Linked DNA regions of Sus scrofa. The protein of the gene in region 1 purifies or fractionates together with the protein of each later gene. This does not show direct contact. Links are inferred from orthologs where the notes say so. Each region holds a gene or a part of one and is shown on either strand. Other genes may lie near its edges. The genes, in order: NGFR and NDN.

What was found.
Region 2: the proteins of NGFR (region 1) and NDN purify together in Homo sapiens (affinity purification with western blotting; 3 studies listed by BioGRID). This does not show direct contact. The link is inferred for Sus scrofa from reciprocal best matches to the Homo sapiens genes NGFR and NDN.

What each region holds. Positions count from the first base shown.
Region 1 is NC_010454.4:25,700,162-25,716,793, forward strand, and holds part of NGFR (tumor necrosis factor receptor superfamily member 16), read left to right. Parts: intron 1-7,072; coding exon 7,073-7,214; intron 7,215-10,325; coding exon 10,326-10,685; intron 10,686-14,868; coding exon 14,869-15,121; intron 15,122-16,632. UniProt on the Homo sapiens protein: Low affinity receptor which can bind to NGF, BDNF, NTF3, and NTF4. Forms a heterodimeric receptor with SORCS2 that binds the precursor forms of NGF, BDNF and NTF3 with high affinity, and has much lower affinity for mature NGF and BDNF.
Region 2 is NC_010443.5:142,403,075-142,419,167, reverse strand, and holds NDN (necdin), read right to left. Parts: upstream 6,481-16,093; coding exon 5,503-6,480; downstream 1-5,502. UniProt on the Homo sapiens protein: Growth suppressor that facilitates the entry of the cell into cell cycle arrest.

The DNA.
Region 1 (16,632 bases):
TCGGACAATGAGGACCAGCCAGACAATGGGGGGGAGGGGCGTGGGAGGGAGACGTTCGTGGAGCGGGGCTCTGTTGAAGAAAGAGAAATGGTTAAGAGAGGGCAGAAAAGGGATGGCGGTGAGGGAGGTAGAGAGATGGAAGCAAAACGAGAGGACGGAGAAGGGAGAACGGACCCTAAGGTGGTCGGGGCCCCGCCTGCCCGCGGAGGGACAGTGGGACGAGAAGAGAGGGCAGAGGCACAGACACTTCCCGCGCCTGTCGCGCGCTCTTTCTCCCGGCCTCGCGAGGTCAGGCAATTGCGGCTTGGGGTCCGAAGCTAGGAAGGGAGTGCCCACTTCGCCGGGGCGAACCCGCTCTCCGGGTTCTCCGGCGACCGGCGGGCTCCTCCTCCGCATTTATTCTCGCAGTTTGAAGCAGAGCGGAGGACAGGATGGGACAGAGCTAGGCGTCGTCCGACGGGTTCTGGTCGCCGCCACTTCTTGGGGTGCAGAGAGGCGGGACGCGCAAGGCGGGGAAGGTCGGGGTAGCGCGCAGGCGAAGGCGGCCCGCAGGGGGCGCTGTGGCGCGAGGGCTGAGCCGTCGCAGCTACCCGCGCGACTGTGGCTAAGCGCCGCACCGCCACCCCGACCTCCAGTTAAGTTAAGCAGCCCGAGCGTCGCGCTGGTGGTTCGCTCTGTTTCCGCGCCCCGCCCAGCCTTGGGTGAAAGACACCGGGCAAGGAACAAAACGGGGGTGCTTGTACGCCTGGGATTCTGTCCCGGAAAAGGACCGTGGGTCCTCGTGAGCGTCAAAGTCCGCCCGGAAGTTCTGCCGAGACATTCAGGAGATGTGACCTGGTGTGTGGCCATGAACCGAGTGCCCTGAGAGGTTTGGCAATGGAGGAGGTGTCCTCACTCTCCCTGCCATCTTCATCTCTCATCGGAGCCTCGCATCTCCAAATCCCAGCTTTACAGACAGAGGCTCTGAGAGTTGAAGCCAATTGCTCAAGATCCCACAAGCAAGTAGAGCCAGAATTCTTAGCTAGCCTGCCCCTCACCTGATTCCCAGCCCGGTACTCCCCGTACCTCTTAAAAGGGGCTGCCCGGCGTCCCAGCTTGGGTTAAGAGCTGCGTGGCTCGGCGGCGGCGGGTCGGCGTGACAGAGTCCGGCCGACGGAATATTGGGGGCTGGGATGGGCAGAGAGCCTCTCCGGGTGCTGGCCCTATCCTCGAAGCTCAGCCCCAGTTCTCTGGGATGCTAGTACCTGTGGCTTCGTCCGGGCATGTGGGAGTGACTGCGGGCACGTTTGCTGACTAACGTCACGGGTTAAAGATGCTTCTCAGCCGGGGAGGAAGGGAGCGGGAAGGGGGGTGGGGGGGACTGTAGTGCGGATCCCGGAGAGGCGAGGGCGTGGGCTCCGGATCTGGGCTGGAGGGTGTCCGCCGAGGAGGGAAAAGGCGAGACAGGAGGGGAGCTGCGCGTGGAGGGCCTGGGGGCTCGGAAAGGTGGACCCCGCTCGGAATCTGCCGCCTGCAGCCCCTGGGACTCTCGCCTCCGCCTTGCCGCGGGGCTGCTGTCTCGGGGCTGGCTCTGTGCACCGCAGCGGTCCGAGTTTCTTCCTGGGCCGCGGCGAGAGAGTGCTGAAACCAGAGCGCGTCCCGGCGGGTCGGCTGGCGAGCCGCGCCGGTAATGGAGGCACTTTGTCATTCAGACGTCTGTAACCGGAGCCGCTGGACTGGCTAATGCGCATAATAGGGATGCAGCGACGGCAGCAAATGCGAGCACGCGAGCGGGGCCGGGTGGGGGAGGCGCCTCGGAAGGGAAGGTGTTCCCACGCCGCTGTACCAGCCAGGTCCCGTGCACGCGCCTAGATTCTTCCCTGGGGGTGCGGGGCGGGGAGGCGGGAATAATAAAATTGATTGAGTGCCTACTGCGTGCCATGCATGGCCCTGAGTAATTTCTCTTATGTTATTTAATCCTTATAAGGTCCCAGCCGAGTCAATCTAGTTATTCCCATTTACAGCTGAGAGAGCTGAACCTCCCGGACCTTCAGACGCGAAATCAGGCTCTCCCAGTTTAGTAGATGGTGGCGCCCTTGTTGGAACCTAGGGTGCCTGGCTTGGAGTTTACTCTGTCCTCCTTATGCCAGGCACCGGCCCCTCCCCCAACCTTCCAGATCACGGAAGGACACGTGGCCTTGAATTACACATTAGATCGTGTCCGGTGCTCTTGGCACCACAAAGTTATAGCTGAGCCCCTCTCTCCCAGCCCGCCCCCTTTCAAATTATTACTGCAACATCCTCCTCAGTAATTCGCTCTTGTCTTTGACCCCAAACTCCACCCCTGTCTAAAGGGTTGAGGGGGCATGTGCCTCCCCAGGGTTTGCATTGGTCTCAAAGACCCTTCCCATGTTTGAAAACTCTCCAACCCCGTGACAGTGGCCAATGGCTCCATTCACTTAAGGAACCCTTTGCTGAAGCTGCTGTGAATGCTTAGGACTCACCACACTGAAGCCTGCCTGTAGTTTCAGATTCTTTCAACTATTTCGGCGTATTCTCTATTGGGTCCAGTTTTGAAAAATTAAATCTTAAAAGTCCATTCACGTAAGGGTGTTTCCACCTTAATTTCTTGAAAGCCTGGAAATGGCAAAAAGAACAAAAAAAAAAAAAAGGAAAAGATTTGCAAACATTCTCAAAAATGGAACGAAATCATTCCATCAGACATGGAAATGAGTAAGTGTAATAAATGTAAATTTCAAGCAAATGTGTCTGTCATTTTGGCAAATCCATCGTTTGGAGCCATTAGCCTGAATCCTCGCCATCCCTCCCTCCTTCCCAAGATTGCTGGGCCTTGAACCCAGAGGGAGTGTGGCCGGGTGGTGCATCAGGCCGGTGAGCAGCATGACCTCTGTGGGCCTCAGTTTCCACCTCTGTCCCATGACGGCAATCCCTCAAGTCTTTCCTCCTCAGCTTCTGGAGCAACTCTTTGGGGTGATATTTTCTCTCCATCGTGGGACCATAACTCCTTCCAGGAGTCAGGGACCATGTCTTAAGAGACACTCTTAGTTCCTTTTTTTAAAAAAGTATTTTATTTATTTATTTATGTCTTTTTGCCTCTTCCAGGGCCACTCCCGTGGCACATGGAGGTTCCCAGGCTAGGGGTCTAATTGGAGCTGTAGCCACTGGCTTACGCCAGAGCCACAGCAACGCAGGATCTGAGCCACATCTGCAACCTACACCACAGCTCATGGCAATGCCGGATCCTTAACCCACTGAACAAGGGCAGGGATGGAACCCGCAACCTCATGGTTCCTATTCGGATTCATTAAGCACTGCGCCTCGACGGGAACTCCAAGTATTTTAAAATGATAGTTGATTTACAATGTTCTGCCAATTTCTACTGTACAGCAAAGTGACTCAGTCATTGGAAACTCAGTCCAATGCTTAGGAAATAGCTGCTGACTTAATTAACTTTGAACAGAGCAGGTCCCCATCCTCCTTTGGTCCCCATCCTCCTTCAGACTCTTCTTGGTGGGTGTCTGTCTTCACTCCTATCTTGCCCCCTGCTCTGAGATGGTTTTCCCTCTTTGGGGATGGCTAAACTCTCCCCTCCCTGGAGTTCCCATTGTGGCGCAGTGGTTAACGAATCCAACTAGGAACCATGAGGTTGTGGGTTCGATCCCTGGCCTTGCTCAGGGCATTAAGGATCCGGCGTTGCCGTGAGCTGTGGTGTAGTTGCAGATGCAGCTCGGATCCGATTAGACCCCTAGCCCGGGAACTTCCGTATGCTGCGGGAGCAGCTCAAGAAAAGGCAAAAAGACAAAAAATAAAAAAATAAAAATAAAAACCTCTCCCTTCCTGCTACCTACTCTCTTCCCCCCACCCCACCCCCATCCCCTGCCCAGGCTTAGCAGTTCAGCTTGTCCTTAAGACAAGACACTTCTTTAATTAGTAACATTTAAAGTTTCCATCCTGGCGCAGAGGAAATGAATCTGACTAGGAACCATGAGGTTGTAGGTTTGATCCCTGGCCTCGCTCAGTGGGTTAAGGATCCGGCATTGCCGTGAGCTGTGGTATAGGTCGCAGATGCGGCTCGGATCTGGTGTGGCTGTGGCGTAGGCCAGCATCTGTAGCTCCGATTGGACCCCTAGTCTGGGAACCTCCATATGCTGAGGGTGCAGCCCTCTAAAAAACAAATAAATAAATAAATGTAACATTTATTAAACTCTTACTGTGCACCAGACAGATTTGCATAAATTACATTTACTTTTCACAGCCACCCTGGGCAGTAGATATCACCAACCCAGTGTTTTAGTTGGGAAAACTGAGGCTTAACAGAGATAGAGAATTTACCCAAAGCAACATGCTTATTCAGTAGCAGATCTGGAATGTTTTGAACTAGAACACAAAACAAGCACAGGAAACACATGGTTACTAATTATGTAGCCTTGACTCCAAATGAAAGACTTGGGAGAAGAGAGAGGACCACCAGTGGGCTTTGACAGGAGGGCGGGGCACGGGGCTGCCACTCCGCCCACTGCCACGACAGACCCTTCCACTATCCCGGGCCCAGGTCTCTACTGACCCCAATTAACGGGAACTCAGCCCAAAGCCAAAAGAATGCCAGAAAGACCTTGCAAAAGAGAAAGGAGGGGTCTCAAAGTAAATACACAGCTTACTCATTTACATAATGCTTACAGCCACCTTCTGAGGCAGGTCCTGTCATAATTACCTAATGAGGAAGAAACTGAGGCGCAGAGAAATTCCAAACCCGTCCCAGGTCACCTCACTCTAAGCCATGAGCAAGGATTCAGCGCAATGATGAAGGCAGGAGAACTCACACTTTTTACTCTGAGAAGGGCCCCCCCTTTTGGTTCAGATCCTGCTTTCATTCCCTTTATACATCTTCCCACCAGGGCTAGTTACGTACTTTCTAAAGATTCAATTAGACCTAATACATTAGAATGGGGGAGGGGCTGCTCCGGTCACACTGGGAGCAGCGAGAGTTGACAACTGATACCTTGACAGGAAAGGAGGAGACAGAAAAATGGTAAGAAAAGCTGACAGGAGAACTCCAAGAGACAAAAGTGTGGTCATTTGTGATAAAGAACATAGGGCATCACTGCATCGCCGCCCAGAAAAATCGCTCGTGTAACTATTGAGCCCCTGAGTCATAGGGAAACGGTGAAAGTGTGTTTCAGAGACAGAGGAAGGGGAAGCGCCCATAGTTAAAAGTGAAAACCATTAGATGAGAAGAGCAGCAAATCCTTGACCTTCCAGAATCTCAGCTCTCTACGGAGAGAGTTGGTCCCTGGAGTTCTCATTAATCGAGGCCATATTGTCTCACTGTCTTAAATTCCAGAAATATACACGTTGGGTCCCTAATATGTGCCAGGTTCTGTCTCAGGCACTGAGGCCAGCACAGTCCCTGCTCTCAGGGAGCTGACAGTCCCATGGGGGTGTCTGCAGAGACTCAGACCAGACAGGAAGACCGAACAGGGAGGACAAGGGACAAGGTGGCTCCGCCTGATCCAGGAAGGCTTGGGACCACGGGACCACTTCCCTGATGAAGTGACATTTAAGCAGAGTCCTGAAGGATGAAAAGAAATCTGAACAGACCCTTCTGGAATCTGGAGTCTTGCTCACCTCCTGGGGGAAACCTCGTGTCGGGGACTACACCCCCCCACCCCACCCCCACCGGGCTTCTGGTCTGCAGATGTTCCCAGCACCCCGTCCCTGCCACCTGGGAGAAGACGGTGGCAGCACCCACGGTTCCCCTCCTAGGCTGCCTGCACCCTCCCCATTGGGCTCTTGAGAACTAGTGGCTGCCTCCTCAACTGATCCAACCTGGCCATCCCCCTACCTCCATCAAACCCTGCTGAGACCTCAGGATATTTGAAAGGACTGGAGGGAAAGACATGTTTTGGGCCAACATGGAAGCAGCAGGGGAATGTCCCAAATGACCTGGACAGCGCCCCTCTAGTCCCATGATCCAAAAGCCCCTGTTTCCTCTGAGCATCAAATGAGGGCTGCATGGTCTGGAGCCAGGGAAACAGGCTTTGGAATTTTATTAGATATTAAGTTTTTTTTTTTTTTTTTTTTTTTTAAAGGAACAGAAATACAAAGCAAGCTGGCAGCAGCCCCTCCCTCTAGGGAATCTGGTGCTAAATCATTCCATCCATGAGCAAAGATGCTTCAGCGGCAGGAATCTGACTCCCCTCTCCCCTGTTTCCAATGCAGGTCCCACTGGCTGCCTGGGGGGCAGGGAGAGGGGCGGGCTGGTGGCTGGAAATCAGACCCTGGTGGAGCAGGGCTGCTGGATGGTGAGAGCTGCCACTTTCTCATCATTGATAACAGGCAGCCTTTTCTCCCGTCTTGGCGCCAGACTCTTGATGATTGGCTGCTCTTTTGCTTTGGCCCTAAGGTGACTCCCTCTCTCTCTCTCTCTCTCTCTGTCCAGAGAGATGCAGAATCAGAGAGGGAAAGCAGGGCAGGTCAGAACTCTCAGAGCAGAGCCAAAATTTGAACCCAAGGTCCCACCTCTGTTCTTGGGTACAGACCCCTCCCATTTCATACTTAATATGTGGAATGGTAGAATTAAGGACCCGGAGCCCGGCTGCCCTTTGTTAGAAAAAGACTCCTCTTTGGGTACACGCATCCTTGCAGGTGTGCAGCTTAGCAGGTGGCATTTGGGCTAGATTTCAGTTTCTAGTCACCTCCTTGGCTGGGAGTCCTATGCAAGCTGCAACCTGCCTGCCGCTTCAGCTGCTCCAAGTCTCTCTGCTGGACCTCAGGTTGCCTTCCCCCCATGATGTATCCTTGGGATTCTAGGAGCTGCTGTAACCCCAAGATGAACTTTGCAGAAAGTCAGCATCCAAGGCTCTGACCTCACACTCCCAGCAGCCTGCAGGGGTGCACTGTCCCCCGTGGCCTTTCTTCCCCACCAGCTTTCAAGTGCCAAATGCCTCCCTGGTGAGCTCATCCGGGCCCAGGTGGTTCCAATAGAAGGCTTTAGAAGGGGATGTTTGCTCCGTCGGAATCCACCCCTCCTCCATCTCTTGCCAGTCTGATCTTCTGACCTTCCCCCACTCAGGTGTCCCTTGGAGGTGCCAAGGAGACCTGTCCCACAGGCATGTACACTCACAGCGGCGAGTGCTGCAAAGCCTGCAACCTGGGTGAAGGCGTGGCCCAGCCTTGCGGAGCCAACCAGACCGTGTGTGAGCCCTGCCTGGACAGTGAGTATAGATGACCAGCGTGGGGAAGGGGGTGGAGGGCACACTCCGAGTCCTGGCAGGGACTCCTGCCCATCACTGCTTGGGCACCAGGAGTGAGTCTGCCGCAGGATAGGAGGCAGAGAGGGGAAGCTCCGAATGGATGAAAGAAGCATGCAGAGGGAGGAGGGGGACCTGAGGGGGGAATCCCTGGGGTGGGGGGGCGCCCCTTCCAGAGACCCCTAGCAGAGAAGCCTTGTAGAAGAGTGTTCTGGCCAGGTGGGAGGAGTAGCTGATGCTAAGACCAGCTAAAAATATCCGCTGCACTGCAAAATCAATGGCTGCCACTTACCCTCCGCGTGTTTGTGGGGAGGGGAGGAAGATCAAATCCTGGCTGTCCTGGAGACTGACCTTGGGGGATCCTGGGAGGGTGTGGCTACACCTCCCCCCAGGCCAACTGTTCTCCAGCCCTGACCGAGGAAGCAGAGCTTTCCCCATCAGCGGGGATGGAGGCTGGCGCCCTACAAGGATGTCTTTACAGGGGGGTTGAGGTCAGGATGGGGGAGGGGCGCTGTGGCCATTCCTATCTGGGATTTCCTTGGGAAGAGGAGTCTTCCAGCGCTGCTGGATGAGGGAGGCAGAAAGATGGCAGGTCTGCCTGGAAACGTCTCCTCACTGTTGATTGTCAGATCCTGCCTTCTAACTGGCTACTCAATGCCCATCTGCAGGACCAGTGGGAATTCTACTCAGACTGTTCTTTAATCATGCTGGGAACAAGGTTACAGGAACTGGGGACTCTGAACACACCCACCAGCCTGTCTTTAACCTTTGGAGCCAGCCCACCACCAACATCGCAAGGCACACACGCTCTCTCTTCTTCAGGCAACCCCAACTCCTTGATGTCCCGACCATACAGTTTTCCTATTTCTGTGCTTGTGGATCCTATAACTCATCCCCCAGCAGAGGGATGCCTGGGGCCAGGTGAGGAGGCTGGTCATCCTGCAATGCCTTTGCTACCTTGCCCTCTGGCCACCACTGCTGGCTCTGGCCATGCAGAGTTTCCATCCCAGTGCAGGGCTGGCCAACCATCAGCTGCCCTGCGACCTCTGGTATTTGCCTCTCTCAGTTCCTACCCCAGGACCGCCTCTCCTTGGGTCCTAAGTCGCCTAGGATGGGACCGCAAACCTTTCTGTCTGAAGTAAGGGGTGGGATAGAAGAGGCTGAGAGAGGGAAGGGGAGGGAAGACAGGACCAGAGACCAGCTCGGAATTTTCCCTCCCGTTTCCTCCCTCTGCCCCCCTTCTTCCCCATCCCCCGCCCCAGCTGTGTTAACGAGCTGCCTTTACAAGCCCACTTTATGAGACCGAGACCCCAGTGGACTTTCCCTCTATCCTCAAAACGTTTCCACAAGGAAACCCATTAAGCTCCTGCCTTCATTCTCTGCCAAAAAAGACCACATTTTCCCCACCTCCTAAAACTCTCTCCCCAGGAGTTGGCTGCTAATTTTCTGTATGTTCCCATGGCCAGGAAGCTCCCCTTCCCTTCCCCTGTGACTAGACCCACCCCCGTGCCACTTGCCAACCAGATAGGAGCCTCTTGTATAAACTGGACATCCTGCCTTGGCCATTTAGGTTTGGGCGTTCTTTCTGCTGTCTGACTAATAGCCCTGCTACTGAAGTTCATTGCCCACCCTGGGGAAGCCCAACCTTTACAGGACCCCTGCTGGGGGTCAAGTACTTTACAGTGGAATTTCACTTATTCCTCACCACAACAGGGAGTGAAGACTTTACTCCCCGTTTTATAGAGAAAGAAGAAAAGCTCAGAGAGGTTAAGTAAAACACCCAGAGTCACACAGCTAAATAAAGTGATGGAAGCAGGTTTTGAATCCAAGTCTGCCAGAAGCCTAGGAAGAGAAACACAGGGGTCCCTCTGCCAGAACTGATGTGACACCAAAGTCTCCCTCCAGGCCCATCTGTCTTTTCTTCCAAATCTCTTCCCCACCCCCGTCCCCCTTAAGCTACTGTCCCTTTCATTTCAAGAGAAGTGAAAAGCAGAGATGCTTTTCTCTTCTTTGCTTCTCCAGCCCCACCCTCAGCCGCCAAAATAATGACCCTGCGCTCCATCTTGGCTCTTGATGCCTTTAGAGAAGCTTAAGATTTAGGACCCCCCTGCCCCCAGCAAGCTTCAGTTTCCCTCCAGTGGGCTCCTAATATCTCTACCCCTGCTTCCGCCTTCTGGGCAGTCCTCCTACCCCAGTTGTCAGGTTCTAAACCTGTGCTCTTCCAGCCTCTTGGATTCAGTCTGGCGTCAATTTCTCCACCTTGGGCTGGAAGGGGTGACGTTCTGGCTCTGTGCCTTCCTGCCTCTTTGCACGAGGATGCAAGGACTCTGGCATCCCCAGCACATCCATGCCCTGATTCTGGAGCTCCCGCCCCTTAATTGAGCGTGAGTCAAGCATGAGCTTGAAAATATTTCCCTCGTGCCATTTGAAAGGGCGCTGGACTATATGTGCAAGTCCTTTTTCTTTCTAGCCCGGATCCCTCCTGCTGTAGCTTTCGTGCCAGGAGTCCATCCCTGCCCTCAAGAGCCAAGCCCTTCTAGCAGCCAGGAGTAGCAGCGCCGTGGGTGGGAAATTCTGTTGTCTAACCCTAGTCACTCCCATTCAGGACACACCTGCTCCCACCTGTGCCGAAAGGGATGGAAGGAGGCTCCCTGGGGAAGGCCGGCTGTGCCTGGGCTGGGTTCACAGCTCAACTCTGGCCTGCAGGGAGGGCTGGATGGGAACCATGCTCAGATTATTCCTTAATCACGCTGGGAACTCTTTAAAAGAGTTTGTCCAAAAAATGTACCAGCAGTGGCTGGGTTACCCCTGGGAAACCCCAGGGCCAGAGCTTCCGGGGTCTGGAGCTGGGGGCTCTCGGCTCCCTTCCTCCTTCCCAGGCTCCTGCCACCAGCTTTGACCCCAGGGGAGGGGGTGGGAGTCAAAATGGGGGGAGCGGGGCGAAACGAGGGGGTCAGAGCCCTGGCCCTGGCCGGGGATGGGGCAGGAAGGCTTCCAGCCTCTGCATCCTACGTGCCCCCAAGGAGAGGAAACTAAACTGGGGCGCAACTTCCCCGCGCGTCCATCTGTCCTCAGGCGTGACCTTCTCGGACGTGGTGAGCGCCACCGAGCCGTGTAAGCCGTGCACCGAGTGCGTGGGGCTGCAGAGCATGTCAGCGCCCTGCGTGGAGGCGGACGACGCCGTGTGCCGCTGCGCCTACGGCTACTACCAGGACGAGACGACCGGCCGCTGCGAGGCGTGTCGCGTGTGCGAGGCGGGCTCGGGGCTGGTGTTCTCGTGCCAGGATAAGCAGAACACCGTGTGCGAGGAGTGCCCCGACGGCACGTACTCCGACGAGGCCAACCACGTGGACCCGTGCCTGCCCTGCACGGTGTGCGAGGACACCGAGCGCCAGCTTCGCGAGTGCACGCGCTGGGCCGACGCGGAGTGCGAGGGTGAGTGTGCGCGGAGCGGACCTGGGGCAGGCAGGCTGGGTCCTGGCCGGCAGGACAGCCCTGTGGCCTCGAGCCAGCGGGCATCCTCCCAAGCCTTCCCACCAAGGGACCCCGTCCACTATTTCCGCCTTTGGGCTAAGTGGTTGGAAAGCCATGCGCCTCCTCCCAGGCCCCACTCCTTTTCCAAGGCTTTATTAATCTGTGGCTACTGACTGGGGATTGGAGGGGTGACAGTTAAGCAGCCCAGAGGTGGCCTCTGTGTGCAGAGGCACAGATAGGACATGTTTGATCCTTGAGGCCGACTCTCTGAACTGGAGGAGGGGCCCGAGGGTCCTGGGGGTTGGGCGCTTAGTGGTTTATGGTTCTGGGACCTGGGATAGAATCCACCCTGTCCCTTACTATCTGCTTGAAGTCAAGGAAGTCACTCCTGCCTCTGGACCTGTCTCCTTACTGGTCATCGGGTTTCCAGGGTTGCTGTGGGTTAGGGAAGGGGGCTGGCTCCCTTCCCCTGGTGGGAGAGGGGTCAGCAGTCACTGGTACAGTTGAGTCAAGGATGAAGTTGGACCCCGGGAACACACACTAAGTGGTTGTGGGGATAGGAGCTTGGGGACAGAGAAAGAAAGGAAGCAGCAGGCCTGGGGCTCGGGAGCCAGAGGACGAGACAGGTGCACACAGACGGCCCTTTGCCTCCCCCCACTCCCCCCACACCGGGGTGGATGGGAGCTGAGGGTGCCCACCTTCGCCAGATGGGGGCAGTTCCTGGGGTGGGAGGAGGACACCCTGTGGCAGCCAGGACAGAACTGTTTTGGTCTCTGGTTGGGGACATCCATCTTGGGGGAGAGACTGACAGGGCCTTTGCTTTCTGTCAATCACCCCATGGCTGGGCACACATTTCGCTCTTTCCCCTGGGGACCCAACCCTCAGGGTGGTGCCCTCACTCTGAGCAGGCGGCACCGAGCCTCCACCAAGGAGCCCTGAGTTGGACAGGACACAGACGGCCTTTGCCCGAGTCTGATGAGGGAGAGGCGGTCCCAGCACTTAGTTCCTGGGAGATCCTTCATTCTGGCGGAGGCTGCATTGCCCCCCTGCCCCAGTCAGCCCCGAGTCGCAAGGGAGTGATAGAAGCCTGCCCGGGGAGCCTCTAGTCTGACACACCCATGCCTTCCTTCCACATCCTGTGATCCCCCCCCTTGCACAGGGACCTCAGGGTGGAGAAGGCTATTAAGCTGGGCTGAAGCCAGGTATGTGTGAGAAGCTTCTTCCTGTATTCAGATGTGGGGTCAGGGTGGAGGAGCAGGGGCGGGGGGGAAGAGAACAAGGGGGTTCCGGTGGCAATTGCCCTGGGCCAGGAGACAGGCAAGTAGCATCAGGCACAGAGCAGAGCAGGGAGGGAGTTTCAGCAGCCTGCAGGCGGGCAGGCGGGCAGCACCGGTCTGCGGGCAAGTCCTGACCAGCTGGCAGGTGGGCAGGCAGGGGCTCAGTTAGAGCAAAGGAAGGTGGTGGCTGGGGGAGGGGGGGGGTTCTGCTTTTGGGGAGTGGGCTTTCCCAGCCACCCTGAAGGGGGGCATTTATCTCTGTTCCCCACCCCCACCCCCGGTTCTAGCCTCTGAAGGGGTCAATGTCAGCTCTAGGGCAGAGGGAACGTTTCTGGAACTGGAATTTGATTCCTGCTTTGGTTGCCCCCGCCTCTGCCCCAGTGCAGGGTACTTCCTTGCGCATTCATTTCAGGTGTCAACATGGTGACTCACCCACCCTGGGGGCAGAAACACACCCCCCTACCACCACCACCAACCAAAGAAAGTTGGGTTTAGGAAAGGTAACCTGGTCCCTCCTTCCACCCCCACGCCTGACAGCTCCCATTCCGGAAATGGCTGTCAGGACCTGCCGAGGGCTTGGTGGGTTGGAATGCTAGTGGACATGGCCACATCTGGATCTCATCCCCTGCTTCCCTCCCAAGGGGGGGCGGGGGGTATAGATTGGAGAGATGTGGGGAAAGCACCTTGGAAGGCGCTGTCTTCAGCCTGGTCCATCCTCCGCCCTCTCTCAGCTCTTTCCCACTTCTCTCCAATCTCTGTGACGCCGGATTCCCTGACGGCCCCCCCGCCCCCCACCATACCTTCAGCCTCTGGGTTCTGGCGGGTTGAGCAGAACTGTACCCTCAGCCTGGGGAGGCTCTGGCTCCGGAGCTGGCGCAGTCCCCCAGCTGGGCCAGAGAAGACCCTCGGCGGGCCAGCGCCTGGTCTGGGGCTGCCCCAAAGGAGGGCTGAGTCTCCTCCACTCCCCGCCCCACCTCTTCCACGCCCTCCCTCCCCAGACTGAGATGGCGGAGGGGTGGGGTAGGGTGGTAGAGATGGCAGCTCCCTCCCCAACGCCAGCCAGATGGATGCCAGATTCACATCTGGAGACCTTACTTCTCAGAAGGTGCTGAAAATGAGGGCCTTTGAAGCATCTTTGTCTTCAGCCAAGGAGGCCAGGGAAACCGGTGGGCAGCTTGGACTCCAACCTGGGTGGGCAAATTGGGGACTGGATGAGGCAGCGCTTGGTAGCAAAGTGCCCGCCCTTCACCCCACTGGCATGTCCTGTCTGCTCACCCTCCCTGCCCCAGGCGTGGGACGTGAAGACAGATGGGGCAGGCGGCTTTGCCCAGACAGGTCCCCCCAGGTCGTTCAGAGCCCACATCCCCGGGTGCTGCCCCCGGCTGGGTTGCAGAGTGGAAAATCCCACTCGCCTGTGCCAGGGGGGTGCTGGGTCTCCTGCCAGGGTGGCTGGCAGTGCCCAGCTGGCATGAAAGAACCTAGGTGGGTGACAGGGCAGTCTCCATCCCCTGAGGCAGTGCGGCTCTGTAGGTTCTCTCTCCCACAGTTCTTGTCCTTCTCAAGTTGGGTTTGGGCTACCTGGCACTGTCTTCTTCCGGTGGCAAGATCAGATGGTTCGGGGGCCACATGGGGCAGGAAATTGAGGGTAGCCACTATCCACGGACTGGCCAGAAGGAAGCCAGCCAACTGGACACCTCCCCACCCTGCCTGAGCCTAGAGCTAGGACACCAGAGACCGGAAGGGAGGCAGCATGCCAGCTCTTGGGGGTGGGTACAGGGGGAAGGTACCTCTCTGCCAGACCCAATTACCTTCTCCTTCTTTTTTTTTTTTTTTTTTTTTTTGCATTTTAGGGCTGTGCCCAAGACATATGGAGGTTCCCAGCCTAAGGGTCAAATCAGAGCCACAGCTGCCAGCCTACCCCACAGCCACAGCAACATGGGATCTGAGCCATGCCTGCAATCTGCACCACAGCTCATGGTAATGCCGGATTCTTAACCCACTGAGCGAGGCAAGGGATTGAACCCGAGTCCTCATGGATGCTAGCTGGGTTTGTGACTGCTAAACCACAATGGGAATTCCCACCTTCACCCCCCTTTAGGACAAGGATGACTGGGGCTGCTGGGGCAACCTGAGGCCAGAGAGATTACAACGTTCCCCAGCCTGATTCCCTGATTCCCCTGGAGGCTTCCTGGGGTCCACTCTCTTTGTGGGTTTACCTCCATGCCAGGCTTCTGGGTACCCAGGCAGAGTAGAATTCTAGGACCACAGCTATACTCGAGATGGAAGGGAGATTAAAAACCATCTCTTTTAATAGCCCCACCCTAGAGGAAGTTCCCGTGTGGCTCAGTGGTAATGAGTCTGATTAGTATCTATGAGGTTGAGGGTTCGACCCCTGGCCTTGCTCAGTGGGTTAAGAATCTGGTGTTGCCTTGAGCTGTGGTGTGGGTCATAGATGTGGCTTGGATCCTGTGTTGCTGTGGCTGTGGTGTAGGCCGGCAGCTACACCTCCGAATCAACCCCTAGCCTGGGAACCTCCATATTCCATGGGTGTGGCCCTAAAAAAAAATAGCTCTATTCTAGAGATGGGGAAATTGAGGTCCTGAGAAGTGAAGGACCTGGTCCAGAGTCACACAGCACGTCAGCGACAGAGCTGAAGGGGACCCGGGTCTCCCGATTCTCAGGGCCTTTGCTCTTCTCTGCCATCAAGACATCACACCCCCACTCCCAGCCCTCAACCCCGTGTGCAGCAGCTGGATCTGCACATACCTGGGGGCGAGACAGGGTCTGGGGAAGAAGCTAAAGGGGTGAGAACATAGGGGAGGGGCTTGAGGGGACGGGTCCTCACTCCTGTAGCCCTTTTCTCCCAGAGATCCCTGGCCGCTGGATGACACGGGCTACACCCGCCGAGGGCTCCGACAGCACAGAGCCCAGCACCCAGGAGCCTGAGGTACCTCCAGAGCAAGACTTTGTAACCAGCACGGTGTCCGATGTGGTGACCACAGTGATGGGGAGCTCCCAGCCCGTGGTGACCCGAGGCACCACCGACAACCTCATCCCTGTCTATTGCTCCATCCTGGCTGCCGTGGTCATGGGCCTGGTGGCCTACATCGCCTTCAAGAGGTGAGACGGGAAACAGGGGCCAGGGAACCAGATCTTTGCCCTCAAGGAGGGCTTTGCTGTGACCATGACCTGAAAATACACACACTCTTTCATTTTTTTTTTTCTCTTTTTTTGCTTTTTAGGGCCACACCCACGGCATACGGAAGTTCCCAGGCTAGGGGTCTAATCGGAGCTACAGCTGCCAGCCTATGCCACAGCCACAGCAATGCCAGATCCAAGCCTCATCTGCAACCTACATCACAGCTCAGGGCAATGCCGGATCCTGAACCCACTGAGCAAGGCCACGGATCGAACCCACAACCTCGTGGATACCAGTCAGATTCGATTCCGCTGTGCTACAACAGGAATGCCCTCTTTGATTTTTAAAAAATTTTTTATTTTTATTTTTATTTTTCGGCTACCTGGCGGCACATGGTGTCCCCAGGCCAGGGATCAGATCCCAGCTACAGCAACGCTGGATCCTTGAACGAACTGTGCCCCACCAGGGATCGAACCAGTGTCCTGGCGTTGCAGAGATGCCAATGATCCGTTTGCGCCAGAGCGGGAACTCCTACGCACACTCGTTTAAGTCAACCCCAAACTGAGGTCAACCTCACTCACCACCAGCTTCCCCACTTCTGAGTGCGGCAGGTCAGCTGGAGGTAGGGAAGGGGGGACCGTCCCTGTCCTGGCACCAGCACCTCCTCTCTCCCATTCTGCTCCCCTACCTGACACCCCAGCCCCCAACTCCCCACAGAGCTTTCTTCACCAACTGCTTGTGTCCTTACCCCCTGCACCCCATGTATTCCCACGGTCCTGGAAAGTTTTTTTTTTTTTTTTTTTGTCTTTTTGCCATTTCTTGGGCTGCTCCCTCGGCATGTGGAGGTTCCCAGGCTAGGGGGTCTAATCGGAGCTGTAGCCACCGGCCTACACCAGAGCCACAGCAGCGCGGGATCCAAGCCTCGTCTGCAGCTTACACCACAGCTCACGGCAACGCTGGATCCTTAACCCACTGAGCAAGGCCAGGGATCGAACCCGCAACCTCATGGTTCCTAGTCAGATTCATTAACCACTGAGCCACGACAAGAACTCCGTGGAAAACATTTAAGTGCATTTTCCATTCTTAAAAAAAAAAAAAAAAAGTCACCAAAGTAACGGTATGCTTGTTTGGGAAAACGCAAACAGGACCAACGGCTTGTAAAGCAAAAAGTATAAAGCCCCCTTTTACCTCCCCAAATCCTACCCCTCTCCTCACTGCAATCTGTTGGGAATGGATCCCTTCCAGCCATTTTCTGTGCGTTTCTAAAAAAACGTGTGTAAAACCTTTTATAGGTATATGTACACACGCAGGGTTTTTTTTTTTTTTTTCTTTTGATTTTTTTAAAGCTGCAGTGGGATCACACTATACATATTCCACGGCTTATTTTTTTCTCTTAATCTCCCTTGGGGGAGCTTTCCTCTGAACGTGTAGATTATCTGATCATTTCTAAGGGCTCCCTCAATCGTATGGGTGGATCAGCGTTGAGGTAGCC
Region 2 (16,093 bases), on another chromosome or scaffold:
GGTGTGTCCTTGGCTTCTTTACCTTGTAAGAAAATATTATTTCCCCTTTCTCCTTAAAAACAAACAAACAAAATTTACACCTGTTAGAATCAAATGGCTGTCATCAAAAATACATGAAATACTAAGACTTGGGGAGGATGTAGAGAAAAAGGAACCATTGTGCACTATTGGTGGGAATGTGAATTGATTCAGCCACTGTGGAAAACAGTACGGAGGTTGCTCAAAAAATTAAAAGTGGAACTGCTATATGATCCAACATTTCCACTTTGGGGCATTTATCTGAAAGAAAATCAATTACTATCTCAAATAGATATCTATAACCCCATGTTAATTGTGCCATTATTTTACAATAGCCAAGACATGGAAATAATCCAAACATCCACAGCCAAAAAACGGATAAAGAAAATGTGGTTATATATACTATGGAATATTAGTCAGCCATAAAAATGGAAATCCTGACATTTGTGACAGCATAGATAAAAGTTGAGGGCATGATGCTAAGTGAAATAAGTCAGACATGGAAAGACAAATACTATATGATGTCACTTCTTAGTGGAATCTAAAACAAATAAGCAAACTAATAGAACTCACAGATACAGACAACAGACTAGTAGTAGCCAAGTTAGGGGTTGGATGATGAGCGAGATAGGTTAGGGTGGTCAAAAGGTACAAATTTCCAGTTGATATACATCAGTCCTGGGTATGTAATGTACAGCATGATGACTACACTTAACAAAACTATATTGTATTTTTGAAAATTGCAAAGAGAGTAGATCTTAAAAGTTCTCACCATAAGAAAAATGTTGTTAATGGTGTGTGATGACGGATGTTGACTAAATTTATTCTGGTATTCATTTCACTGTATATCCATATATCAAGTAATTATTCTGCACACCTAAAACCAATACAATTTAAATGTCAATTAAACTTCAATAAATAATAAAAACCTATTGATATTATTTTTCTTTTTTTATTTTTCTGTACATTTAAATTTCATTAATTTCATCTGGTCCTCTACTTTTTCTTTTGGCCAAAACTGAGGCATTTGCAAGTTCCCAGGCCAGGGATTAAAACTGTGCCACAGTGACAACCTGAGCCACTGCAGTGACAATTCTGGATCCTTAATCCTCTGAGCCATGAGGGAAAAGTACTGCACCTCCAGTACTTTAGAGTGGTTGATCATTATTAGTTATGCTTGGTTTTGTTTTTGCTATGTGGTAGAATAGGTTATTTATTTATTTATTTATTTTTATTTGTCTGCACCCACACGATGCCTAAATTCCCAGGCCAGAGATTGAACTCATGCTATATCAGTTACAATGCTGAGCCCTTAACTGATAAGCCACCAGGGAACTCCAGGGCAAGTCTATTATAATATTTTTAGTTTCTTAACTCACATAACCAGTACTTATCAACCACATACATATGCTACTCTCTAAGTTAGGCATCAAGAAAATAGTGAAAATGACAGGTACAGGTTTTTCCTTTATCTAGCAACCCAGGAAGAGAAAGACAAACTTAACTCATTTATTAAAAACATGTGTATGCTGAGTGAACACTTTAGGATGCCACTGGAGGGAATAGTAGGAAAATACAACGGTGCTTTATTTTTATTTTTTGCTGAATAGTAGTTTCTTTACAATGTTGTCTTACCACACACAACTGTGCTTTGAAGACCAGATAGCATATTCCAACACAAGAGGTGTTCATGTGTTGGTCAGATGAAATTCAAGTGGAGGGGGCCAGATATTATTTTCTTTTCTTTGTCTTTTGTCTTTTTAGGGTGGCAACTACAGCATACGGAAGTTCCCAGGCTAGGGGTCTAATCCGAGCTAGCTATAGCTGCTGGCCTACACCAGAGCCACAGCAATGCCAGATCCGAGCCCAGTCTGTGACCTACACCACAGCTCACGGCAATGCGAGATCCAAAACTCACTGAGTGAGGCCAGGGATGGAACCCCCAACCTTTTGGTTCCTAGTTGGATTTGTTTCCGCTGAGCCATGATGGGAACTCCTTCTTTTCTTTTTTGAAAATCTGTATTATTAGTTATTATTTAGTTTTTCTGTTTTTTTTTTTAAGTAACTTTACTGGAGTAGATTTGACTTAGAAAATTGTGTTAGTTTCAGGTGAATAGCATAATGAATCAGTTACACATATACACATAGCTGTTCCTTTTCAGATTCTTTTCCCATATAGCTTATTACACAGTATTGAGTGGGTTACCATGTGCTACAGAGTAGGTTCTTGTTACCTATCTATTTAATATACAGCAGTGTGCATATGTCAACCCCAACCCCCAAATTTATCTCTTCAAAGATGACTTTTCAAGCGGAGGAAATAACTGCATTAGAAGTTCATTTAAAATATGCCTTTCCTATTTACTAATGATACTACAGAAGTAATTAATTTTCCCCTCAGAATATATGAGGTGGCATTATATTTTATACTAAGTTTACAAAGATCCTTTTTGCTCTCCATAACTTTAATTAAATGAAGTTAATTACAGTGAAATACACGTGTGGGTGTTTGTAAAGAAGTGAATTTCTAGTTGGCAAGATAGACTGATAAAATGTCATATGTCATGGGGATTAGGAACTCTTTCCCAGCCTCAGCAGTCCAGGCTTCACCATGCTGTGATCTCAGCCGAAACATCGAGGGTCTGGAGACCCCTCCCTGAATGACCACCCCCAGCACCTTGTAGATTAACCTTTTAAAAAATATTTGACCAACCTTCTAACCTTTCAATTGAGCCCATCATGAAAGTCTAAGAGAGATACTGACTCTTCCCTGTGCCCCAAGGTGCTGTCCAGCATGTCACAAATTAAAGTCATGAATTAACAAGCTGTCCTGGGTGTCATGAATTAACTCTGTTCCATATTTGGGAAGCCTCCTCCTCTGCGTCTGGCTGTGTCCAAGCCAGAGCTCAGCGGCCCTGCCCACATAACTTGCTGGGGTCAGCTCTTCACTTCTTACTATCCTGTCCTCTCAAGATTAGGTTTTCTGTGGCATGGTTGATATTCCTGTGTCAGGGAGCTTAAGGCAGCTTTGGAGTGGTTCTCCTGGTTTCTCTGGCAGAGAGGAACATAAATACAAACTTGGGGAGGTGAGGGGACTGCCTACCTGGTGACTTCTGGGTTTGATGAAAGAAGTGTACAGAAGTTATGATTGCTGCAAGGAGCATTAGGGCCTTAGAGAAAGTGTCCATCAGCCTACCTTGGAAGGGGTGAGAGCTGTGTCTGGTCCTGCTCCAGAAATGAGACAACTCAGAGAGCCCTGTAATTTTACATATATATATATATATATATAAATTTTTTTGGCCACACCCATGACATGTGGAATTTTGTAGGCCAGGGATCCAACCCAAGCCACAGCAGTAACAATGCCAATCCTTAACCATTAGGCCACCAGGGAATTCCTAATTTTATATTTAATGGGGCAGATTTGTTTTGATTCTGCAGGAAATTTTGAGGTGAGAAGGAATTTTTTTTTAACAGTTCTGTAATGTCTGAATTCATCTTGGCTCAGGGTGAGAGATGGCATCCAAGCCAGGGCATCTTTGCCTGAGTCACTGTAGAAATACCCCCTACCCTTCATGAGAGACCCCACAGGATGTCTTCTGAAAGGGAGGGATTTCATCTCTGCACATCTGAGGCTTCTTCAGCTTTTTTAGCACCCGCACTCACTTATTAAGTAATGTCATTAAATGCTGGGAATCCTAGTTCTCAATTCAGATTATAATCCCCTCACCCAACATAACTCTCAGGTTGCTTCTTCTGGGGTATCGTGAACTATGTGTTCCCCTCATTTTCCATCTTCTCCAGATAAGGGTCTTTCTTTGGCCACATCCTCTTTTTCAATCTTCTGAAGTTTGAAGGATTTCTGGTCGTATTAAAGGCCATTTTCTCTCCCTCCCCCTTGCAGGACTGAGAACTTTAATATGAGATTTATCCCCAGGCACTGCTCCTCCCCCATCCCATCCCATCCTCTGAGGGGTTGCTTAGTGGCCCAGTGCAATGCCAGAGCTGCTGGGTTGCCACCTTCTCATCTCAACCCCACCGTCCTCTCCCAGGTTTCCCACGCATGTTCCTCCAGTACCACTGGTCTGGGAAGACTCCTTCATTCTGGTCCTTCCGAGAAGACCAAGTTTCAAATCTTGGCTTCACAGCTAAGCAGGAACATAACTTAGCCGGCTCAATTAATCTCTCTGAAATGAAGTTTCTTAATTAGAATATGACTGCTTTCTCAACAAGATTAATGTGATGGCTCATTACAAAATAAAGTTGATAGCCTTGTGTGTGTATGTGCATGTGTGTGTTTGTGCTAGGGGCAGGGACCTAAAAGTACAGACTCGAACATGAAATTTCTAAAAGGCATAAACTAAAAGGCAGGAGGTAGGTGGTCAGTTGTAGGCAGGCTCTGGACTCATTCAGCCTGGGTCCAAATCATAGCCCCTTCTATCACTAAACCTTTATGATCCAGGGAAATTTAATTACCTGCTTTGTTCCTGTATTTCCTCCATGGTGCAGATGTAATAAGAGCTTGCCTCATAAGGCTGTTGTGAGGATTAAATTAAAAGAGAAAAATGCATGTAAAAAGTTTAGTACAATGCCTCACTCTACCCACAAAAGACAGCTATTAATTTTAATAAAATGTAGAAAATGCAAGAAACTAAATATGAACAGTTACTATTTCTATGTGATGTGACTATGAACTTTTCTGTTTTTCATACTTTTCTCTTTGTCAAATTTTTGAAATGAACATGTGAGTTACATTTTGCAAAAAAAAAAACTATACACCTCACACATATGAGTCACGATTTCCCCACCCTATGAGATGAAATATATCTGTACATTGTGTAAAATATCTCATTCCCAACCCATACTACTTTGTTAAAAAGATAAAAGTACACTTTTCCATAAAAATGACTGTATCACAAGAATCTTTAATGTTTAAAGTTTACTCATGGTGGGGTTGTTTTTGTGTTTAGTAAACTGTGCCAAGTGTCCATACTGAGCCCCTTTAAGTCCACATCACCACACTCCAGACAGATGTTTCCTGTGCCCAGCAAGATCACAGAGAGAGAGGTCTTGACTTTTCTCTTGGTTAGACCAGCTTTACTGGTGAGTTCGTCCAAACTCTCTAGTACCTGTCTACCCCCATACACATCATCAGTCCCATGTAAAAGAATAAGATGGAAAATGTCTCAATGTATTTCATAAGTTTAGCACGTCTCTGGTACAAAAAATTCAAGAAAGGTAGCACAAAAGCGAAAGCACCAACTGAGCTTACTTATAAACAAACATGCATGAATCCTACACACTACCTAATTATTACTGAAATGAATACAACATTGCATTAAAAGGTATAAAAGCACTGTACTGAAAACGTAAAAGTTACACGTGAAATACTGCACTGTAAATCCTGAATACTCTAATGTCCCACCCCCACCCCTCCACCACCCTGGTGAGGGTCAGAAACCATCAATCTGCCTCCAGACCTTGCTAGTCCTCGGAGACACTGTTGCGGGGGCAGTGGGCAGTGGGGTTGGCCTCCCGCAGGGCTCTGGCCTCTTCCAGAGCTTCCCTGTAGCGGGAAGGCCAGGCCTGGGGGTCTTTCTTAAAGACCCTGGCCAGGAACTCCATGATTTGCATCTTGGTGATTTCACGGCTGGCACGGGAGCCCCAGAAGAACTCATACTCAGGGGGCTCGACGTGGGGGACGCGCTGGTACTTCAGGTAGTTCTGCTGTACGAACTCCTCAGTGATAAGCTTTCTCACATCTCCAAAGGTGGAGTGCTTCTTCCAGGGCCTCAGCCCCAGGATGCGCAGCACGTTCCACACAGCACTCTCACGGGCACCGCGACCCTTTACGTAGATGAGGCTCAGGATCATCAGCAGGAGGCCTGTCATAGGCATGCGGTTGCTCAGAGCAACCCTGTCCAGCTCCTCAGGCGCCAGAGCTTTGACCAGCGAGAACTCCATGGTGTGCAGGCTGGTCAGCCTCAGGTGCAGCCCGAACACTCGGGCGAGGATGAGGCTGGTGCGCCTCAGGATGCTTCTGCACCACTTCTTGTAACTGCCGATGACATCTTTCACCATGTCTGGGAACCAGATGATCATCCTTTTCTGGTCCTTGACCAGCACGTACCACATGAGCTCATGTGCCTTCTGCACCAGCTGGGCCGGGGCCGGCGGCGCTGGGCTGGGCTGGGCTGTGCTCCGGGCCTGGTGGGCGCGGCCTTCCTCCGCGGCCTGCTGTAGAGCCTTTGGGTCTCCCTCTTCGCTCAGGGCCTGGGGCGGCGGCGAGGCCAGAGGGGCGTCGGGTGGGCCTACAGGAGGGATCTCTGGCCCTGCGAGGGTCGCGGCCTGGGACGCAGGCGGAGAGGGCCCCCCGGCCACCCCAGGGCTGCTGTGCACCTCGGAGTGGGAGGCATCGGCTGCAAAGTTGGGGTCACACACGTCCTTACTTTGTTCGGACATGTTTGCTCCGTCTGGCAAGGGCTCGGCCGCTGCGTCCAGGAGCTCTTCGACTCTGCGCTCCCTCGGTGGACTCCTGGAGAGGAAGTGCGCGTTGCTGCGCGCGGCGCCTTCCGCAGCGGCCGGGCGGGGCGGGGCGGCGGCGGGACAGGCTAGTGCGCCTGCGCATCCGTGGTCTGTGGGGGCCCTGCCGGCTGGCGGTAGGGGCGGGGCGCCTGGAGGGCTGGGGTGTATTGAGGTCCCAAAGGGGTAGGGGGCCTAGTGGAATACTGGCCTCATGACCCACAGTCGTCCAGTTTGGGCTAAGGAGGCGGTCCTGGGGCCGGGGGGAGGAGCGACATGGGTGAGCACTGGACAAGGAGCAAGTTTAAGAGGAAAGATGGAAACTTAAGCTTCCAAGATGCTGAAGCTGAATTTCTTAGGAAATGTTCAATTGGGTATATGTAGAATCAAGTTAGATGTGAGTTTCAGAGAAAGGCCCAGGTTGGCACATAAGCTTGGGTTTTGGATAACAAGTGTGAGAATTTAAACTGACAGAACAATCAGGGTCACCCAAGAAAATGTGTCAACTCTGAAAAAGATGCGGGATATCAGAATCATGAAAGATAGCAATAAAAATTGATTGATTCACTGCGAGTTCCCATTGTGATACAGCGGAAAGGAATCTGACTAGTATCCATGAGGATGCAGGTTCAATCCTGCCCTTGCTCAGTAGGTTAAGGATCTGATGTTGACATGAACTATGGTGTAGGTTGCAGACAGGGCTTGGATCCAGTGTTGCTGTGGCTGTAGTGTCAGCTGGCAGCCGTAGCTCCAATTCTACCCGTAGCCTGCTATGGGGAAAAAAAAAAAAAAAAAAAAAAAAAAAAAAAGATTTCCTGACTGCCAAGTCCAGGGGGTTATGAAGGAAAAATGCAGAATGTAGTCAATACATGTACAACTGAAACTTTCTTGAAGACAATGTACTAATGATACTGTTAGGTGCTTGAATGGTCATTGATTTTGGTTTTTCTACTTCCCTTGGGTAATTTTGATGTAATTTTAATTTTTTGATTAGGATCTCATCACACAAAGATTGCTGTATTTATTAGCACAGACTAGTATGATGTCTTTCTACTTGTTTGTCCAGGAAGGACCCTAATTCCCCTTATGACTGATGTAGCCTTCACGGGTGTGTTCGTGTAGACCCCACCTCTGCGCTTTCACACAAACTGACTGGTTCCAGAAATTGACAGCCACACCCAAATCCCTCCTAAGACTTTTTTATTTGTCTAACTAACCAATTAGTTAATTAACACAAGTTCCCTAGATTGTATATGGCAGACAGTCTCAGGTGACCAACAATATGAGATGCAATGTACTGGTGGTTGTTTTTCACTTTTAGAACATGGATATGCAGTGGGCAAAAACAAAGCTGACACTCCCAGAGAAGGATGGGTGTAGGAACCTATGGATCCAAGGTTTCTCAGGCTGATCAGCATCCCTGGTCTGAGCCAATATGGTATTTCAGACCTTACTGAATTTCCTCAAGCCAACAGCGTCTTGTTTTTTTTTTTTTTTTTTTTTTCCCCTTTTTTGGCTGTCCCCTTGGCATAGGGAAGTTTCTGGGCCAGGAATCAAATCTGTCCAGGAGCTACAACCTATACCATGGCTTCAGCAACACTGAATTCTTAACCCACTACACCCTGCCGGGATGGGATTGAACCAACACATCCACAGAAACAAGTCGAATCATTAACCCACTGTACCATAGCAGGAACTCCAAGCTAACAGCTTCTTAAATGTGCCCTCTTGAGTCTGGTTATTGTCACTTGAAACCCAAGGTGTGTTTACAATATTGACTTTACATTTCTACAATCCTCTCTTTTTTTTTTCTTGTATCTTCTTTTTCATTTCTCACTCTTTTTTTTTTCTTTTCCATACTATTTTTCTATCTTTATTTTTCATACTTGTATCACTTTGAGCAGGACCATTCTCACACCAGTCCCTCCAATAGCACTTCTTAACCTCTCGCTTGACAAGGATAATTCCTACAGATCAGATATGTCTCAGCTGGATTTTTTCCTGTTCATCATTTCTTCTTCTTTAATTTATAGATTTCTATTTTTAAAATATATCTTGCATGGTTGTGTCAGTTATATAAGATTTTTTATTAATAAGAATGGTTCAAATCTTTCAATTACTTCTTTCTTCTTAAAAATCATCCTCATTTCTTGCCTTTTATTTCCACTAATTTTCTTCTTTTTATTTCACTTGGGTATTTATTCCTTTCTAACTGGGATAATGATTTCGTTCATTTAAGGTATTTTTTAAAATGAAAATGTCTGAGCCTATTATTCAAATCTCAGCTCAGCTTTGGCCATCGGCCATAATTCGTGCCATTGTGAGGTTATTACAATTACATCCTCCTATTTCACCCTCCTAGATTTAATGGATTCATGAAATTAAATCACAAGCTTGAGCACAGAAATGAACACTTATGTATAAAAAAGTGTGAAGGCAATTATAAAAACAATTGTAAAAGCACACCAATTTTAATATTATAAGAGCAACTGCTGCAGAAACAGCAGAGCTCTGGCCAGAGAATTTCAGTGTGTTCCAGTTGCTACCTGAGCTGGACTGGTCCTACAACAGCTCACTCCACACCTCTCTCCTGACAAGAAGATTGTTTAATACTATACCAGAGCCTGCGGTCTGGGACCACTGTGAGGGATCATACCGAGGTTTTAAAGCATTGGAACAGATGTTGAATTTGAATCCAAGTACAAGGTAGACCGCTTGTGCTGTTCACTCTTCTAGCCCCATTGTCCACCTGCTAGCATGATATCATTTTCTTCCAGGAAAAGTTCTGTTGAAGAGGCTCCATTTATTTCCCACCAAGAAGTAAATCCACGGAGGGAGGGGGGTGGGTGGAAAAAAAAAAGTAAAGCTTGAGGTAACCTTTAAGTAGAGAAAGTGCACCTGCACATGTGCCATGGGAGAAGTCAATAGCTTGATAGCTTGATAGTAGCTCCTAATAAGGTGCCTCCCCATAAAGTAGAGATGCAGACCTTAAGAACAATAAGACAAAAGGGCAGATGGAAATTGTCAGTACTCAAGAGTTATCCACAACCTCTTTGATTCAATGGTCAAGATTTGGGTCTGGAGCTGCAGTGATGTCCTGCCAGCACAGGGTCTAAATTAGGCTCACAGGGCATCTCCAGAATTGGCCTTATTGAGTGTGGGTGATGAGTCCTCTCAAGACCAGCAGCTTAAACGCAAAAGACTGAAGGTTACACAGTATCCCCCCCCCAAAAAAAAGGAAACTCAGAAGGGCTATGCTTTCAATCAAGATTCTGTAAAGAGAAGTTCTGTGGATGCAGTAAGTATATGGAGAAGTTATAACCTAAAATATTCTGGTGCAGACAATTTTGCTGGTGGGTTACTTCAAACTCTGAAATGTGGAACAGATTACACAGCTGTGGAATAGGCTGTTCTTGGCAGACTCAGGGATAGGAGGAGAGGCCTGTCCTGGCACTGGTTTCCATAGTGAACAGAGGAGGGGGGGGTCCCCCCGGGGCCTCCAGTGGACGGTGCGCATGCTCACAGTGCAGAAGCCCAGAGGCCCCAAATGAAATGTGAATCCTTCTGGCTCTTTCCTGTCCACATAGGCAGCAACCTCCACCTTGGAGCCCCCAGAGGGGCCCCAAATGCCTTTCAGGCCAAGGAATTGAGACAGAGAACTCACATTCATGGGTTCAGCAAATATTGAGCAATGTCTATCACGTACCTGAAAGATTTGCATTTTAGAAAAGTAACTCAGTCTGAGGGGGAAACCTATCATATTGGGACAGTTTGGCAGGCTGGCCCCTTTTTGTTAGAAGAGAGTAAGAAGTGAGGACAGGCAGTTCTGCTGTCTGCAATTGGGGAGGTGAAGGAGGGGACTCAACCCTGGCCCCTTATCCCCTCCATTCTCCCTAGTGGGACAATGTGCATGCCTGTCCACTGAGGTCCAAGGAAATTCCTGAAATGGGAACCCTTCCAGATCTGTTCAGACTCCCACAGTACAGCTATGCCAGTGCTCAAGGATAATAGTGTCAAGAGTGTCTTTGAGAAAAGTCAACTGGAATCAGAGTTAAGTCTGGAGTTGGAGGCAGGTAGTCAAGGAAAGGCAGAGAGACCAATGAGGAGACTTTTCACAGGAATCCACTTAAATTGGATGATTGCTTGCATTTCACCTTCATTAGCCAACTTTTAAAAATATTTTTTATTATAGTGTAGTAGATTTACAGCATTGTGCCAATTTCTGCTGTACAGAATAGTGACCTAGTCTCAAACTCATATATATATATGAGTATTTATATATATATATGAGTATACATATATATATATATGAGTATTTTTCTCATACTATCTCTTCCTTTAAATGCTACATCTTCAGCATTATGCCTGGAGAAAAAAATGAGGAGAGTTGTGGTCTCTGCCCTCAAAGTGAGGAGAAATGGTGGAGAAAAGGAGCCATAAGCAAACAAACAAGTGAGTAATTAAATAATCATTATGCACTACGTTGCCATACATATCTTGGATGAAGCCACAATGTGGTTGCCAAGAATAGAACAGAAGAACCGATGTTTAGCAGGGATGTAAATAACAAGAAAAAGGAAGGGAGACTGTGGACATCAGGGAGCACCAAATCTGGTCAGTTGGGATTGAGCAGTGTTGTGGAGTTTGGATAGGGGGGCACCACTTCCTGAGATTATTCCTAGAGAAGGATCTGAGAAGGGAGCGTGGACATGTCTAGCAGGTATCTGGATATGTAAGCCTCAGGAAAGCGGCCTGGGCCAACAATAGAAGTTTGAGAGATAAACACAGTCAATAGCATCACCATGAGAGAGTGTCTAGAGCAGGGTTCTTTAAAAGGAGCGAGATTTTCACTGTGTGAGACTATAATGCACCACACAGGCACTGACATCTGAACACCTCTGTCCCTGTCAACACACATATGAATCCCTTCCAGGCATGGGAAAAATAGAAAAGTGTACAAAAAGAAAAAGATGACACCTTCCCACTGCCCTGCCAAAAGCCCTTCTATGGGCAGTCTAGCCCCTAGTTGATAACCACTGAAAATTGCAAATAGGAGTGAGGAAAGGCAGAACTGACCAAGAGGGTCAGGTCACATCAGCCTCTTTCCAGAAGATCATATGACTTTCCTCACTGGACCTGTTTCTGGGACATGTTAAAATAAATTACATTGTCTTCAACATCTTCTTGAAGATAAATGCTGTTCAAGCAGACCCTGGGTACTGTGGTGTATAGTTCTTTTTACACATGGCTGAATTGATCCTATGATATTTTGTTGAAGATTCTTATGTGTGGGTTCCTCGGGGATATTGGTCTGACTCTTTTTGCATTGCCTTTATTATTTTTTTTTCTTTTCATCGAAGTTCCTGGATAGGGGTCGAATTGGAGCTACAACTGCATGCCTACTCCACAGCCATGGCAATCCTGGATCCGAGCCACATCTGTGACCCACACTGCAGCTTGCAATAATGCAGGATCCCTAGCCCACTGAGTGAAGCCAGGGATCAAACCCGCATCATCAGACACTATGCCGTTTTCTTAACCTACTGAGTCACAATGGGAACTCTGCCTTTATCTGGTTTTGATATCAGGACATTAGAGCCTCCTAAAGTGACTTGGAATATGTTCCCCACTCTTCCACTTCATTGAAGGAAATGTACAGAATTGTTTGTTATTTCTTTTTAAGATATTTGGTAGAATTTTTTCAGTGGAACCATCAGTACCTAGAAATTTCTTTTGCAGATAGTTTGTAGCTACCAATTCAGTTTTTTTTTTTTTTTCAGTTGGTTGTAGACCTATCAGATTATCTTTTTCATGCTGGGTGAATTTTGGTGATTTGTGGTTTTTTTAAGGAGTTGGTGTATTTCCTATAAGTTGTCAATTTTATGTCTGTACTGGTATTTGTATATCCTATTATCCTTTTAATGATCAATTTATCTACTAAGCCTGCACTTGGCTTCTTCACCTATACCGGGAACATAGGCCCACACCCCACCCAGGACATAGATACTCTTCCAGAGAGTCCTCAATTCTCCATATACACAGTCCTCCACATGTAACTCTTGGGGCAGCTGACAACTTGAATGTCCCCTAAAAGTCGAGGGTTCTCATAGTCCTGCCTTATGTCCTCTTATGTTCTCACCCTATGTTCTCCCTGGTAAGCACCATCTCCTAGACATGGAAAGTAGTATCTATACACTGATGAATCCCAGGCTTAATTCTTTACCCTAGATGTCTCTTCTGTGGTCTGTAACTGGATATTCAACTGCCTAATGAGCATCTTAATATTTTAACTTTGAATTTTAAATTCAACAATCTACTGCACTTGGTCAGCAGCCTCTCTCAATCTTTGTGTTGCCTGTATTGTACCTTCCCTCCCAGTACATATCATGACGGTCCCCCTAGTTTCCCAGAAAGAAATGAGAATGTCATTGATTATCCTCACATCCAGTTAATCCCACAATTCTCATCTCCCAAATGCTACTACGACCCTTGCAATAGGTCACTGCAGTTATCCACTGGTCTTACTCACCTGGATTGCCATAGTCTACTTCTACTGCATCTTTTCACTTGTTTATTTATTTACCTACAGTTTATCATCCTCATAGAAATCAGTACATCTTCTGAAATTAAAATTTCCCCAGTATCCATCTCCTAGGACTGCTGTAACAAATGACTTCAAACTGTGTTGTGTAAAACAACACAAGTTTACCCCCTCTTGGTTCTGAGAGCAGAAATATGAAATAAAGATATTGCCATGGCCAAAATCCCATTGAAGCTTCAGGGGAGAATCCTTCCTCACTTCTCCCAGCTTCTGGTGGCTCCTGGCATTCCTTGGTTTGTGTAGAGTAACTCCGATCTCTACTTACACCTTTAGCTGGGTCCTCACATGGATGACTTCCACATGAGTCTTTGATCCTTTCTCCTGTCTTTTTTATTTTTTTTAATCTTAATTTTTTTACACATTTTTTTTTATTAAAGGATAGTTTGTTTACAAGGTTATGCCAATTTCTACCATACAGAAAATTGACCCAGTCATATCTATATCTATATCTATATCTATCTATCTATCTATCTATCTATCTATATATATATATATATCCTTTTCATATATACTCCTTTTCATATACTTCAAATATATTCATGTTTCATATAATCATGCATCCATCATGGTCTATCCTAAGATACTGGATATAGTTCCCAGTGCTATACAGTAGGATCTCATTGCTTATTCTCCTGTCTTCTTTTTAGAGCCACACATGTGGCATATGGAAGTTCCCAGGCCATAGGTTGAATAGGAGCTGCAACTGCTGGCCACAGCACAGCAATGCCAGATCCAAGTTACATCTGCAACCTACACTCTAGCTTGTGGCAACATCAGATACATAACCCACTGGGCAAGGCCAAGGATCAAACCCACAGATTCATGGATACTAGTCAGGTTCTTAACCTGATGAGCCACAACTGGAATTCCCTCTCCTGTCTTCTTTAAAGACATTAGTCATTAGTTTGAGAGATCAATGTAAATCTAGTATGATCTCATCTCTAGATCTTTAGCTTAATATGCAAGGACACTGGCATTCACATGTCCCAAAGATTAGGACGTGAATATTTTTGGGGAGGCTATTTTCCAGGCTACCACAGGGGCTGGTCATCTGTTAAGAAAATTGATATTCCTTCTAGGTATTTCATTAGTTTGCGAAGGAGAGACACAACCATGATGCTTGGAAGCAATCAATAGAAGAAAGAATCCTAGCAAAATGTTTTCTTTCCAAAAGGTGAGCCTTTGGGAGGGGTGAATAAAAATATGATTTCAAAATTTCAGAGTACTCTGGGGTTTTACCAGGAAACATATGGGTTCTTTCATGTTCAGAGACAGTGAACAGGTAATGGCTGTTAGATGTAAACTGTTAGTATTTCTCCTAACTCCTCGGTGTCTGGTACAGTATAATCATATTGACCCTCAGTAAGCTGGTCTCAAAATGGGTGGAATAGCTGTCTCAGTATCATTAGATTTAGTTGGCTCTCTTTGGGAATCCCATGGAAAATAGCCTAAAATGCCATTAATTCCCCTATAAGTTAGGATCTTACATAACTTCTGCAATAAAAAAGGCTCTTATTTTCATAAAAATGGGACCACATCATCCTCACTGCCTCCGAGTCCTTAGTTGTGAGAATGGCTGCTTCTTCCCTCTCGCATTGATTGCCAGGGATTAATTTTTATAATTACATAATAATACAACATCATGTAAAATAAATTTTATTAGGATGTCCTTCTTTCCATCAATGGATCAATGAAAGGGATAAAGGATCACCATTTTGCTTTAAGCTTATGATATCACCTATATCTTTTCAATCCCAACTTCATGTACTATAGTTCAATTCAGGAAGTAACTTAGTGCAGAGCCCAGAAGTGAAAGGGCCTGGTCCTGAACCAGAGTGTCCTTACTTTGATGCTAGTTGCTCTTTAGGGGTCCCCAGACTACCCACACTTCTGACCAACTAGCTATAAATTTGGCAGTTCCCATGACCCTTTCAGACTCCACAATTCACTAGAATGACTCATGGAACTCAATAAAAATTATATATTAAAGATGATGGTTTTATTATATAGGATATACATACGGAGAGGTCTAGGAGGTTTCCCAGCACAGATTTTTCCATGCCCTCTTCCCAGGGGGAGTCAGAGTGTCTTATCCTCTCAGGACACTCATGTGTTCACTACTGAGCTTCAGTTCCAGAGTTTTTACCGGGGTTTCATTACATAGGCATGAGTGTTTGTCAAGTGGCTATGTGATTGAACGCAGTTTCCAGCCACTCTCTCCTGCCTCATGGTCTGGAAACTGAAAGCCCCAGCCTTCTAGTCATGGGATTGACTTTTCTGGTAACCAGCCCCTGCTATAAAGTTATTCATTAGCCCACCATAAGGCACCCCATTAACATGTTACCATGGTGAGGACACTAGTGCCACTCAGAGAATTACAAAGGTTTTAAAAATTCTGAATCAGGAACCTAGGACAAAGAACAGACACATTTTTAATTATCCCACATCCTGTGATAAGAACTTGAATGCTTTTTTGCCTCTGTCCTAGTACTCTAACTTCTATTTTATGCTTGCTGCAGCCCTTGTTGGACTGAACTCTCTACTCTCCCTGGAAAGCTGAGAGAAAGCTTTATTTGTCATAGAAGATGCCATAGGTTTCCCTCCAGGGCAGTGGGCTCCTGAACATTCATTATGGAGCAAGAGGTAAATAGGCTTAGGTGCTGTTTAATATGTGGCTTTGAAAATCTTGGAGTTCCCGTAGCGGCTCAGTGGTTAATGAATCCGACTAGGAACCATGAGGTTGCGGATTCGATCCCCAGCCTCACTCAGTGGGTTAAGGATCTGGCGTTGCCGTGAGCTGTGGTGTAGGTTGCAGACTCGGCTCAGATCCCATGTTGCTGTGGCTGTGCTATAGGCCAGAAGCTGCAGCTCCAATTATACCTCTAGCCTAGGAACCTCCATATGCCCTGGGAGTGGCCCTAGAAAAGGCAAAAAGACAAAAAAAAAAAAAAA